3 linked regions of the Coturnix japonica genome follow. The protein of the gene in region 1 purifies or fractionates together with the protein of each later gene. This does not show direct contact. Links are inferred from orthologs where the notes say so. Each region holds a gene or a part of one and is shown in the gene's direction. Other genes may lie near its edges. The genes, in order: NF2, AMOTL1 and AMOTL2.

Region 1 (3,642 bases):
CATTCAGACAGTCTGCTGATAAAGGAGCACAAAGGAGAATGAGTTGGGACGGAGCCTTGCTGTGTCCAGGTTTTGGCTGCAGGAAGCTGCAGGCTTTCATGGAAGAGAGGGGGACTTGGTGAGCCACGATGGTCATGTGGAATGTTCAGTTTGGGGCCTTGCTCCAGGCTTGAGAGCACATTCGAGGGGACATTGTGTGCTTGCTGACTTAACATGTGTTTATTCTCAGATGAGGTCTGAAGAGACAGCTGATTTGCTGGCTGAGAAGGCTCAGATCACGGAGGAGGAGGCAAAGCTCCTGGCTCAGAAAGCAGCAGAGGCTGAGCAAGAGATGCAGCGAATCAAAGCCACGGCCATTCGGACGGAGGAGGAGAAGCGACTGATGGAACAGAAGGTGCTAGAAGCTGAGATGTTGGCACTGAAAATGGCGGAGGAGTCAGAGAGGAGGTCAGAGGGTACAACCTTGCAGCTGTCTCTGCTTTGCTTTCCAGCCCCCTTCTGACTTAGCAAAACTGTGGCTCACCTTGAGGTAGTTCAGAGTTTGCAGTGAGTCCTTGGCCTCCCCTGCATGCACAACAGCAACTGACCCCAAGGCTCAGCTGATTTCTCTCTGTTTTGCTGTTTGCCACAACTAGGCTATCCCTGCATAGGAAATGGTACAGGTAGAACAGTGGTGGCCCTGATTTTTCTTTGATCAGACGTCCCTTCTTTGAAGCCCTTTTATTGGAAGGGTTGATGCTATGGTGAAAGGAACAGGGAAAGGGGACATCACCTAGAGGGCCCTGGTGCTCTGCCTTTCACGCCCTGACAGCAACAGCTGAAGGGAGCTCAACTTATGGGTCTTTTCCTCTCCTGGCATTCTGATGTGCTGCTCCACCCCTTAGCTTTGCTTACTGCTGCTCATGCAGAGTTCGTGCCAGAGCTGTCCTTCTATGGCGTGGATTTTTGTGCTAGTTAGTGTCCTACATGTCAGAGGTTCCAGTGTTTCCCTTACCCAAATGATTTCTTTGTTTAGGCCTTGCTAAGGGATAACTCTCTACCTGTTTTACACCTATGGTGTAATCATGTTTATCAGCCTCCAAACTTGGACCTAACATTGCCTTTTGCTGTTCTTCCTTGGTAGGGCAAAGGAGGCTGATCAGCTAAAGCAGGACCTTCAGGAGGCTCGAGAGTCTGAGCGGAGAGCAAAGCAGAAGCTTTTGGAAATCACCAGCAAGTCATCCTACACGGTAAGAATCATCAGTATTGTCATTGCTAGTTTCCAGACAGTAACTGGCATCCTCCGTAGTCTAGAGCAGTCTTGTGTCTCTATCCCATCAGTAGGGGGGTATGAATCATCTCACTGTATTGCTTAGTAGCTGTTCTGTAATACTTAGGAGCACTTGCCCTTTTCGTCTAAGTAACTTGTCCACCAGAACGCTTTGCTCACCTTTTTCCCCCTATCTATCTTGCTTTATTCTACAAAGGCCAGAGAGCTGCCGATGGAATTAAATGCAACAAACTGTAAAGTAATCTAAGAAACGTGCCGTGCTTTGCATGTGGAGTTGACCAGCTCTGTAAGAGCTTTTAAAATAGGATTAAATACAGAACTGAGGATGGTCTGATACTTGTTAGGAAGAATGAATATTGTTCCAAATCTGTGAATTCATTCTCAGGCATAAACTGGTCTCTGTGCATCTATGTGCTGAAAAACCAACTTCATTGAAGGGGGAGTGTTCTGTAATTGCCCATTAAGAGGATTTCACACCTTCCTCTGAAGCATCTGGTCCTGATTGCTGCCAGGGACTGAAACACCAGACTAAAAGACCACTGCTCCCATTCTGTCTGGCAGTTCCTTTCCTCAGCTTCCCTAATTGTGCTGCAGGACCTGCAGATGCCATCAGGCGCTCCTTCCCCACAGCTTGCACCTGCCATGACTGCCTTTGCTGCTGCACTTTGTCCAGAGAGGTGAAGGGGGAAGAACTTGACATCTTCAGGAATAAACTCAACAGACATACGTGGGAGTTACTGACCTGTCTAGTACTGAAGCTTTAATTTGTACGTGTTAGCTCCTTTCCTCCCTCTCCCCTCAAAACTTCTGGGAAGCAGATTGAAGAGGGTTAGTGATGAAGAAGCTTTTCATCCAGATTCTCTGAAGATCCCTGCAGAAACATTCAGAAGCGTTTAAGAAACGGCAACGATGGAAAATAGTCGGGTGTTTTTAGCCTCAGGGCCTTCAGTCAAGTGCTGTAAGGCTTGATGCTTTCTAAACCTTATCTTTGGAGAGCTCCTTATGTTGCTGCAGGGTTCTGGGATCCACCAGTTTGTGAATTCTGAGCTTAATTTACTCACAGGGTGGAGCATACTTGTTGGAAACCTACTGAATGGCTACATCAGCCCAGTGCTGATGTCTGGGCAGAGCTCTCACATCCAGGTTCCCTCACGTGGCTGTGCTCATCCTTAGTCAAACGAGCAGAACCACAGCTAGTGAGCTCTTGTGCATAAATCCCTGTGCTGCCCGCACTAGCGATCAGCAGCGTGACTGTATTCCTGCCTGTGGAGTTAAAGCCTAATTACAGGAGGTAGTGCAGGATTGCATGGAGCTCAGCTCCACCCCTCCAGCTGCATCTGTCCTAGAGGCAATCTGTGCAGAGCTGCCGCCTCCAGTCACAAAGTGCTGTATCCTCCTTTCCTCAAAGAGCTGTGGCTTGCCTTTTTCTCTCCCCATTTAGATGACAGAGTCCCCTCTCATAGCTCTTCTTGCCCCCTCCCAGCCATGGGAGCAGCACTGCATCACACAGACGCAATGTCTGTTGCTTTTCCAAGGCCAGCTGGCTGTCTTATGTCTGTTAGACTTGTATCCATGTGACAGTAACTTGCTGGGCCCTTGTGTGTGAAGCACCCCATCTCCATCCCTTGTTACACCTGCCTCATGTTTCTCTTCCTTTGTAGCGTCTCTCACTCTGCCACGTGAGTGCTTTGGGACAGATGAGTGAGATGTGCTGAAATGCTTCTCCTGCGCAGGATTGGGCTGAAGGGACTGTGCTGGGCAGGCGCAGTAGCAGAGAGGGAATAAACCCAAAGTGGCCTGAGGGATGAAGGGTTTTGAAAGCTGCTGCTGGGAGGCTGGTGTCCCTCAGGTGAATGGCAGCTCTGCCAAACGGTACCAGATTCCAGCTCTTCTCTTCCTTAATGAGGGTGTAACGCTGAGCTTGTTATTTTTCTTTCTCCCAGAGTTTGTGCTGTAGTCCCCTGGCATGGAGTGCAAGCCAGAACTTCCCTCCTGGGAAACAAGCAAAAGAGGAAGGGAGGAGAGGATGGATGTGTTACAGAAATGACAAGAAGCAGTTAAAATTTTTCTTTGGTAATTTTCCAGTTCCTTGTACTGGCTTTTTAGAACTTGTTCAGGTGTCTTTTTAGACCTTGAAGCCAAAACTGCTTTTGTGATGGTGGTGGTGGATAATGCACAGGAAAGAAAAAACAAACCTGAGTTTCAGGCCGCCAATGCTGGGAGAACAATTCATTCCTTACTGACTTGGCAGTGCCTCCTGCCTCCTTTGCTGCCATTCAGGTACCAGTCACAGCAAGACTAAAGGCAGTCATCTCTTCTGTGATTCTTTGGGATATGAAGGGCCTGCCCAAGTCTTCAGGTAGCAAAGTGAA
Region 2 (3,642 bases), on another chromosome or scaffold:
AGCTCAGGAGAAAGTTTTGCTTTTTAACTACTTTTGAATGCCAAGAAAACAAACACAAGTACTGCTGAGGAACTCCTTTGAGAATTGGAAACAGCAGGATAGAGAAGGGAAGTTGCCAAAAATGACCTCAAAAACTGAACTCAGAACAGCACCTCCTCCTTGCCTAGGAAAATGGGAGGACTCTGCGGAGCTGAGGGCTAATTTTCACTTCTACCCCCACCAGGAGCACTCCTTTGGTGTAGGCACAAATACCTCACAACTCTTTGGGATGGGTGCACAAGTGAGGATCCAGCTAGGAGGGATTATGCCTTGCTCCAAGCAAGCTTCACTGTGTGCATCGCTTTCTATAACTAATGCTCATGTTGCTGTGCAGAACAAACAGGACTGAGATGAAGAAGGGAGCTGGAGGCTGTGTTGGTATTTGACCTAACCCCTGAGCTGAGTGGCTTCACTCCAGTTACAGCATCTGTAACACCTTATCCCATGCAAATGCAGCTTTTGAGGCTGGGTGAAGTTATACCTTGTCTCTGCATTACTTCAGTATGTGTGATGGTTGTCTGTCTGATCTGTGATGCTTAAAGTTCTGGTACTACACTGCGACCTTTATCATCTTCCTTTTATTCACCCAGCAAAATTACAAAAGTTGGTATTGACTTGCACTGAAATGGTGTTACTGGCCAGAAGGGAAAATGCAGTTTTAAGAGAGAATGCCAGAGCACAGATTTCCTCTTCAATTATGCTCCCAGAACTCTTTTTATTTTCAGAAGGATTTCAGGCTTTTTCTGTGATGCATCCTGTGCTGTATCTGATTGTGGCATGCAGTGCACTTGTGAGGGGATTCAGCTCTCTAACTTCAGCTGTCAAAAATGCGCTGTCTCATTTGGTATTGCTATGGAGGCTGCCTCTGAAATCTGTGCCAGGAGTCTCCAGGGAGGGATTTACCCAATTCCTGTTTTAGAGGAGATCACGTTTCCCTGTCCCACCATTGACTGGGGTGAGAGGTTGGAGCCGTGGGTAGGGGGGGGCCTGTGGAGAATGTTGAGGGGAGGGCTGGGGAAGTGATGGGGTCACTTCTCTTAATCAGAATTAGGGGTGAGCTGCCATAAGGAAATGAGAGTGGTGTAAAAGAATGGTACAGCTGCAGGGGGTAAGAGGAGCAGAGGGAGTGAGGCCCCCTTATGAAGAACACGGTGCTATTATTAGGTGGCCCAAAATAAGGTGTACTCCTAACCACTGCCTTCTCTTCCACCCAGCCGAGGAAGCCCTCTGCACCTTGCACCCTCCAGCCTTCCTCCGGAGCTCAGAGGTGGAGATGCGAGGCTCGGAGGAGGTGGCAGCCGGCACGGTCCTGCAGCGCCTGATCCAGGAGCAGCTGAGGTATGGCAACCCCAGCGAGAACATGAACCTGCTGGCCATCCAGCACCAAGCGACGGGCAGCGCCGGCCCCTCCAACAGCACTGCCAGCACTCTCTCTTCCACAGAAAACCTCGCGCCCGAGGACCCACAAATGGTCCAGCCATCGGCGCGGCAGGAACCGCAGGGGCAGGAGCACCAGGGGGACGGTGCTGCGATGGAGAAGCAGCCCCGGGCCGCACAGCCCCCACACAGCAGCGAGGAGCTCCCCACCTACGAGGAGGCCAAAGCGCAGTCGCAGTATTTCCGTGGGCAGCCACCGGCAGGGCCGGGTTTTTATGTCGCTGGTTCCTCTGGCCAGAAGTCCAGGACGGAGGGGAGGCCGACGGTGACTCGGGCCGGCAGCGGGCAGGCGCATAAGGATGATGCACTGAAGGAGCTGAAGCAGGGCCACGTGCGCTCGCTGAGCGAGAGGATCATGCAGCTCTCACTGGAGAGAAACGGGGCCAAGCAGCACCCGCCTGCCCCAGCAGGCAGCAAGGGGCTGAAGGCTGCCCCGGCACCCAGCAAGGGCATGGACCCGCGGGGCCCACCGCCCGAGTACCCCTACAAGGCCAAGGCGGCAGCAACGGTGTCCCCCAGCAGCAAGGCACCTGATCATGGGCTCTTCTATGGTGAGCAGCACCCAGCAGGGCCGCAGGACGTCCTCAAGGCCTCCTACATGGCCCCGCAGCCCTCCAGGACCGAGGTGGCCGTTGTCCGTTACCAGCCGCCCCCGGAGTATGGGGTGACCAGGTAATGCCCAGGGTGTGGGCCTGGCAGCTCGTGGCCATGGGGACCTGGTTGCCTTAAAGGCTTTCTCTTTCACCACTCTTTTAGATCTTGATATGAAAAGCTGGGAAGACTCCTGGCTGTCCAGCCAACCTTGTGTCCAGCTCTTGCTGTGTTTCTGTGTTGAGGTGTTGAAATGCAGGGCTGTGTCGGGGCAGCAACTGGGTTGTAACTGTTGTAATTCATATGGAAGAGCAGAAGTTTGGAGATGAGGTTTCACCTGTAACTGCATAAGGAGCGCACTCTAAGAGTGTGAAAGCTTATAACATAAACCTTGTATCCTTGAGATCTTCAGAACCCCAAATTAAGAAAAGGAAAAGTGGAAAAACCTGCATGAAGCTTAATTGTGAGATAGAGATATCTCTTTATTTCACATCTTTCTTCGCTTGATGGTGGGGTGAAATTGTTCCCTTTACGAAGAGGGCTAGATAAAGTGTATACATCACTTAGGCCCTACTTAAATTCTCCAAACAAAGCTTACATGAGACTTTTATGGAGCTTGGCCCCTTGTGCTGGGCCTCTGCATGTGGATGATTTTATTCCAAGCACATTACAAATAATCCACAGTGTTTATTTCCTGTGAGCTGATTGCTGAGAGCCACACGGCTCCTGCCAGCACTGCGCTGCCCAGCTCTGAAGGCAGGGGCTGGCCTGTGCCATGTCACAGCTTCCTTCATCATCTGTCCTTCCAGAGCTGTTTTTCTTGCTGTTCCTAAACACAAATGAGTCTCCATTTCATCCTTCAGCCTCCTAGGCGGTATTTTGCCAGCCTCACTGGGTTCACCCCACAAATCCTCATGTGAGGAGGGAAGTGTGGCTAGGAACCCACACACCTTGGCAGGTAACTGCTGAAGGAGATGGGATAACCACAGTTGTGGCTTAATTTGTTTGTTCTTCTGTGGCTGGCTGTCAAAGGGAATGCTGCCTTTGTAGTCACTGTGCTGAAATCTTGTAACTTGTCTGTAAATAGCAGTAGGACTGATACGGGATGTAGGATTTGATACTGCAGATATGAGTAGTGGTGTTGGAGTAGATGATCTTGGATGTTCCCTTCCAACCAGGCCACTAAGATGATCGGGGGGCTGGAGCACCACTCCTGTGAAGAAAGGAACTGGGCTTGTTTAGTTTGAAGTGAAGGCACAGGGGAGACCTCATTGTGGCCTTCCAGTACTTGAAGGAAGTGTATAAACAGGAGGTGGAATGGCTGCTTACATGGGTTGGTAGCGAAGGGACAAGTTGGAATGGTTTTAAACCAAGACAAGGGAGGTTTAGGTTAGATATTAGGAGGAAGTTTTTCACACAGAGGATGGTGACGCACTGGAACAGGTTGCCCAAGGAGGCTGTGGATGCCCCATCCCTGGAGGCATTCAAGGCCAGGCTGGATGTGGCTCTGGGCAGCCTGGTCTGGTGGTTGGTGACCCTGCACATATCAGGGGGTTGGAACTGGGTGATCACTGT
Region 3 (4,439 bases), on another chromosome or scaffold:
TTTGTACATCCTTCCACTAAAATTAACACTGGTTCTGCCTGTTCATCTCTAAAAGGAGATACCGACTCATCTGATATCTAATCTCACAGCTAAGAGGATCTGAAGCTCCGGGATGGCTATTGGCAGTCACAAGCATTCCGAGCATCTCGCCTTTGACACAGCACCGCACATCTCCATCTCCATCTCCAGCCCCTGCATCCCTTCCCTGCACAACAGCCAAGTCTGGGCTTTGTGGGCTGCTTTCACCTTTCCACGTGCTTCATCTTCTGATGGGAAGCAGTGGGTCTGTGTGGGTCTGTGGATGGGGAAGGGCTGTGTGAAGAAGCCAGCAGCTGGTCAGGCTCGTCCAGGGGGAGCATGGAAAGGTGGAAGCTTCCCATATCTGCCGTGTTAGAAAGAAAAAGAGGAGCAGAGGGCTTTTCCTCTTCAGATCACTTTCCAAAGTGCTGTTATCAGCCCAGGAGGGGTTTCCTGCTGCCAAAAATAGAGCGGTGTGGAGATAGGAAGGGAAGCGGGATGACGCAGGCATAGATAAGGCTGCTGGATGAGCCGGGGGGGCAGCTGGGACCTCCGGCATGCTGGGTGCCCCCATCCCACTAAGAGACCCCCGGTAGGGTTTGGGATCTCGCCCACACCTGCTCTGTGTCCAGGGCTCGTTTCTCAGCCCCGTTATCAGTCAGTGAGCGGCTGGGTGCTGAACGTCAGCCCGATACCTCCATGGTTGGGGGCCGGCAGGGGAGGCTGGCCGAATTTCAGGTTGTGCAGCGTGCATCTGTGCCTCTGAAGGATGCAGCGGTGTCTGGCCGAGCAGAGAGCGTTACCCACAGCCAGTCCCTTTCCTCCCCCCAGACAAAGCCCCCCAAAGGATGGCAAAAGGAAGAGCCCGTCGGCGCGCTCCGGGCTTTGTTCGGCCTTTGGAAGGTGCCAAATTCCCTCTCTCAAGAATGAGAGCTTAATGTCCCGTATCTAATTAGCAATTTTCCCTGCACCTGCTCCTCGGCCGCCCCTCGGACCATCTGCCGTCTCGGGGCCCCGCGGGCGGACGTGCCCGGCGCTGGGGGTCCCGCGGCTCCTCCGCTGCGGCCGCACGACGGGGAAGCGGCTCCGCAAAGCCGGGCAGCCCCGGGCTCCGTGCCGCGGGTCCCGACCTGCTGCACCCCACAAAGGGAAGGAGCAAAGCACGCGTGTATCCCGCACGAGAGGCGGGGGTCGGGGGGCTGCGCTGGGGAAGGGGAGCGGCGCTGGCAGAGGGCAGAGCAGATGGGGCCGCGGTTTTTTTTTGTAGGGCCGGGAGACAATGGCGCGTCTCTCGGGGCCGGGATCAGGCACGAAGATTTATGCAGGCGGGCAGCTGGCGGGCACAGCCTCGGAGCCCCCCCGGGCGGCAGCTGCTGCCCCAACCCCTCGGCAGCCCCCGGCCCAGCGCCGACACCGACCGGCCCAGCCCCGAATGGCGGTGGGGCGGGCGCTGCTCCCCCTGGCGGCGGAGCGAGGACGGGGAGGAGGAGGAGGTGGCGGCGGGGCGGGGCGGGCCCGGCCCCGCATTCCGGGCATAGCAGCGCCCGAGCCCGGCCCCCGCTACCGGCGGGGCCCGCAGTCGGCAGTGGCCTCGTTCCCCGAGCGGCAGCACGGCCTCGCCGCTCCGCCATGCCCCGGTAAGTACCGCCGCCCTCCCCCCAATCCCCCGTCCCCGAGGAGCCGCACAGCCGTGGGGAGAGCCGCGTTCCTCCGGCCCCAATCCCGCTGACGTCCCCGTGTCCCCCCGCAGGTGCCCGCGTCGCTCGTAGAGCCCCCGGACGGACGGACGGAACGCGGCGGAGATGAGGACGGCGGAGGACTCGAGCGGGACGGTGCTGCAGCGCCTGATCCAGGAGCAGCTGCGCTACGGGAACCTGACGGAGAACCGCACGCTGCTGGCCATCCAGCAACAGGCGCTGCGCGGCGGCACGGCCGGCAGCCCCCGCTCGTCGCTGGAGAGTCTGACCCAGGAGGAGAGCCAGATGGTGCCGCAGTCCGCCCGGCAGGAGCCGCAGGGCCAGGAGCACCACGCCGACCACCTGTACAACGAGCACGGCGGATACCGCCCGGCACAGCCCCAGCACAAGGGCGAGGAGCTCCCCAGCTACGAGGAGGCCAAGGCGCACTCGCAATACTACGCGGGGCAGCGGGCAGGGCAGCAGCACGGCGGCACCCGACGCCCCGACGACGCCCTGAAGGAGCTGAAGCACGGCCACGTGCGGTCGCTGAGCGAACGGCTGATGCAGATGTCGCTGGAAAGGAACGGGGCCAAAGCGCACGGCCCCATCAGCTCGTCCCACAGCTTCCCGCAGCTCTCCCGGCAATACACCCTGCGAGGGCAGCGCCCCGAGGGAACGGAGCCTCGCGGGCCTCCACCGGAGTATCCCTACATCCTCCCCAGCCAGGAGGCGGCCGTCGCTTACCTGTCCCGGCCCTGCTCCCGGGACGGGGCCGGCTTCCAGCACCCCGAAGTCAGGTAACCCACAGCCCTCGCCGCTTCTTGGGTGCTGGTTGGCCCCGGTTTGCCTCGGTTGGTTCAGGATTTCCATCCGGCAGTGAAAACTCCGCTGCTCCGGGAGGGATTCGGGGTTAATGCAGGAGTTGGAGGCAGGTCAGGAAATGGCTAAATTCGGAACAGGCGTGAGCCAGCGTGGAAGGAAAATGTGCTGCTCGGAGTGGAAAAAGCTGCCTGGCCTCCCCGGCTGAGGGTGCCCCCGGCCCCGTGCCTTCCAGCAGAGTGTATGGGAGCGCTGAGCACTGCTCCTTCCTTCCAGCCCATTGACACCTCCAGCAAAACCTGCCTCTGCTTGGAGGTCTGTGGGTGTGGAGATTTGGGCATCTCCTGGTGCTCAGGGAAGGCTGGGAAGTGTGGTGTTCTGGCATGGAATTGCTATAGGCAGGAGCTCCAAGCTGACTTACCAGGGCAGGGAGTGATAGCATTTCTGGCAGGAAACAGCTCTCCTTCCAGGGAACAAAGAGGGGAAGCAGAACTGTGAGGAAGATGCATTTGTTCTTCCTCGCTCCTGGATCACCCCATAGGAATGCAGGCTCCAGCACGGCGGCCACATGGCTCAGGATGGCTGAGGCAGCCATGGGATGTCGAGGAACTCTGGGTGATAGAATGGGGTTGTATTAACAGTGTGGTGGCAAGGCTTGGAGCCAGGAGCCCTCTCCTTGCCCAGGAAACCATGAGGAGAAGTGGTAGTGCTGCAGGTTTCCAACATACATCTTTGCTGAGGGTTTTTCTTGACTGCATCACCCAGCAGCAGGGTGGTACTGAGCCCCCCTGACCCCCCCCCCCCGGCCTAGCAGTCAAGTCCTGATGTTCTCAGGTGCTTAAATCCTGGGTGTGGAGGTGCTCAAGCTGCAGGCAGTGCTGTCAGATGGGGTTTCCTTCGTATTTTGTGTGCCCAAAGCCAACCCTTCCCAGCTGTGCAGGGCAGGTTGAGCACTCATCCTCCTGAGCATGACCCATGGGCACCCAGCACCTCTTTTGTCCAAAGGTGCTTCAGGAGCTCTGCGTATCCACACGGGTTGGTTGACAGAGGAGAACATGTGGGCAGGGTGCTTGTGGTGGCCAGTGTGTCCATCCCCATGAAGTGGCTGAGCACCCCTCTCTTTCCCCCCAGCAGGCTGATGCCAGCACCCGTCCCCGCAGCGTTCCTGCCCTCACCGAGCACGCTGGGCTCTCTCAGCCCTGCTGGTGTGGAGGCCCTGGTGAGTGCACAGGCGGCCTCAGCTGGCAGCCGGCTGGCCCAGGTGGATGCTGTGATGCGGGAGAATGAGAGGCTGCTGCTGGACAATGAGAGGCTGCGACGGGAGCTGGAGAGCTGCACGGAGAAAGCCAGCAGGATCCAGAAGGTGAGCTGGCCTTTGCTTCCTGTCAGCACGCTGAGGATGCAGGACCCCAGCCCTGCTGGTTATTTGGGATGTGGGCAATGGGTGCAGATGCTCAGCCCACCTCTGCTCCCACCCAGCACCTCACCCACCAGCATCCATCCCTTGGGGGGAAGGGAAGGGCTCATTGACCTCCTGCCGTGTCACGGGCAGCAGGTTTAGGCTGAGAGCAGGTACACCTGGAAATGGCCTCATCTGCACAGTGCGGCTTTGTCCCTTGTTTTTGAGCGAGCTCGTGCATTTGCTTCCTTGCCGCCTGGGGCAGGATCAAGCAGCTGCTGTGAAAATTCACCCCCTTTTGTGTTTTAATCTCTGCCCCCTCCCTCCGGTGGCTGCCCCCCACAGCAAGCAGCTGCGCTTTGGTGGCAGCACGGCTCCTTGGCCAAGTGTGGAAGAGAGGGGAAAAAGAGCCCATTCTGAGGCTCCAGTAGCACTCAGGCTGTCTCCACCCGCCCCAGGAGCGTGCCCGGCCACCACAGAAAGCCCTTTGTACAGCTTTGCACAAGGACAGGGCTGTTCCCTGC

What was found.
Region 2: the proteins of NF2 (region 1) and AMOTL1 purify together in Homo sapiens (affinity purification with mass spectrometry; 6 studies listed by BioGRID and IntAct, counting the BioPlex papers as one, with this or other methods). This does not show direct contact. The link is inferred for Coturnix japonica from reciprocal best matches to the Homo sapiens genes NF2 and AMOTL1.
Region 3: the proteins of NF2 (region 1) and AMOTL2 purify together in Homo sapiens (affinity purification with mass spectrometry; 5 studies listed by BioGRID and IntAct, with this or other methods). This does not show direct contact. The link is inferred for Coturnix japonica from reciprocal best matches to the Homo sapiens genes NF2 and AMOTL2.

The regions. Positions count from the first base shown.
Region 1 is NC_029530.1:9,885,855-9,889,496, reverse strand, and holds part of NF2 (merlin), read left to right. Parts: intron 1-229; coding exon 230-447; intron 448-1,123; coding exon 1,124-1,229; intron 1,230-3,642. UniProt on the Homo sapiens protein: Probable regulator of the Hippo/SWH (Sav/Wts/Hpo) signaling pathway, a signaling pathway that plays a pivotal role in tumor suppression by restricting proliferation and promoting apoptosis.
Region 2 is NC_029516.1:165,956,138-165,959,779, reverse strand, and holds part of AMOTL1 (angiomotin-like protein 1), read left to right. Parts: intron 1-1,253; coding exon 1,254-2,148; intron 2,149-3,642. UniProt on the Homo sapiens protein: Inhibits the Wnt/beta-catenin signaling pathway, probably by recruiting CTNNB1 to recycling endosomes and hence preventing its translocation to the nucleus.
Region 3 is NC_029524.1:3,377,394-3,381,832, forward strand, and holds the start of AMOTL2 (angiomotin-like protein 2), read left to right. Parts: upstream 1-1,523; 5' UTR 1,524-1,655; intron 1,656-1,768; 5' UTR 1,769-1,820; coding exon 1,821-2,494; intron 2,495-3,647; coding exon 3,648-3,879; intron 3,880-4,439. UniProt on the Homo sapiens protein: Regulates the translocation of phosphorylated SRC to peripheral cell-matrix adhesion sites. Required for proper architecture of actin filaments.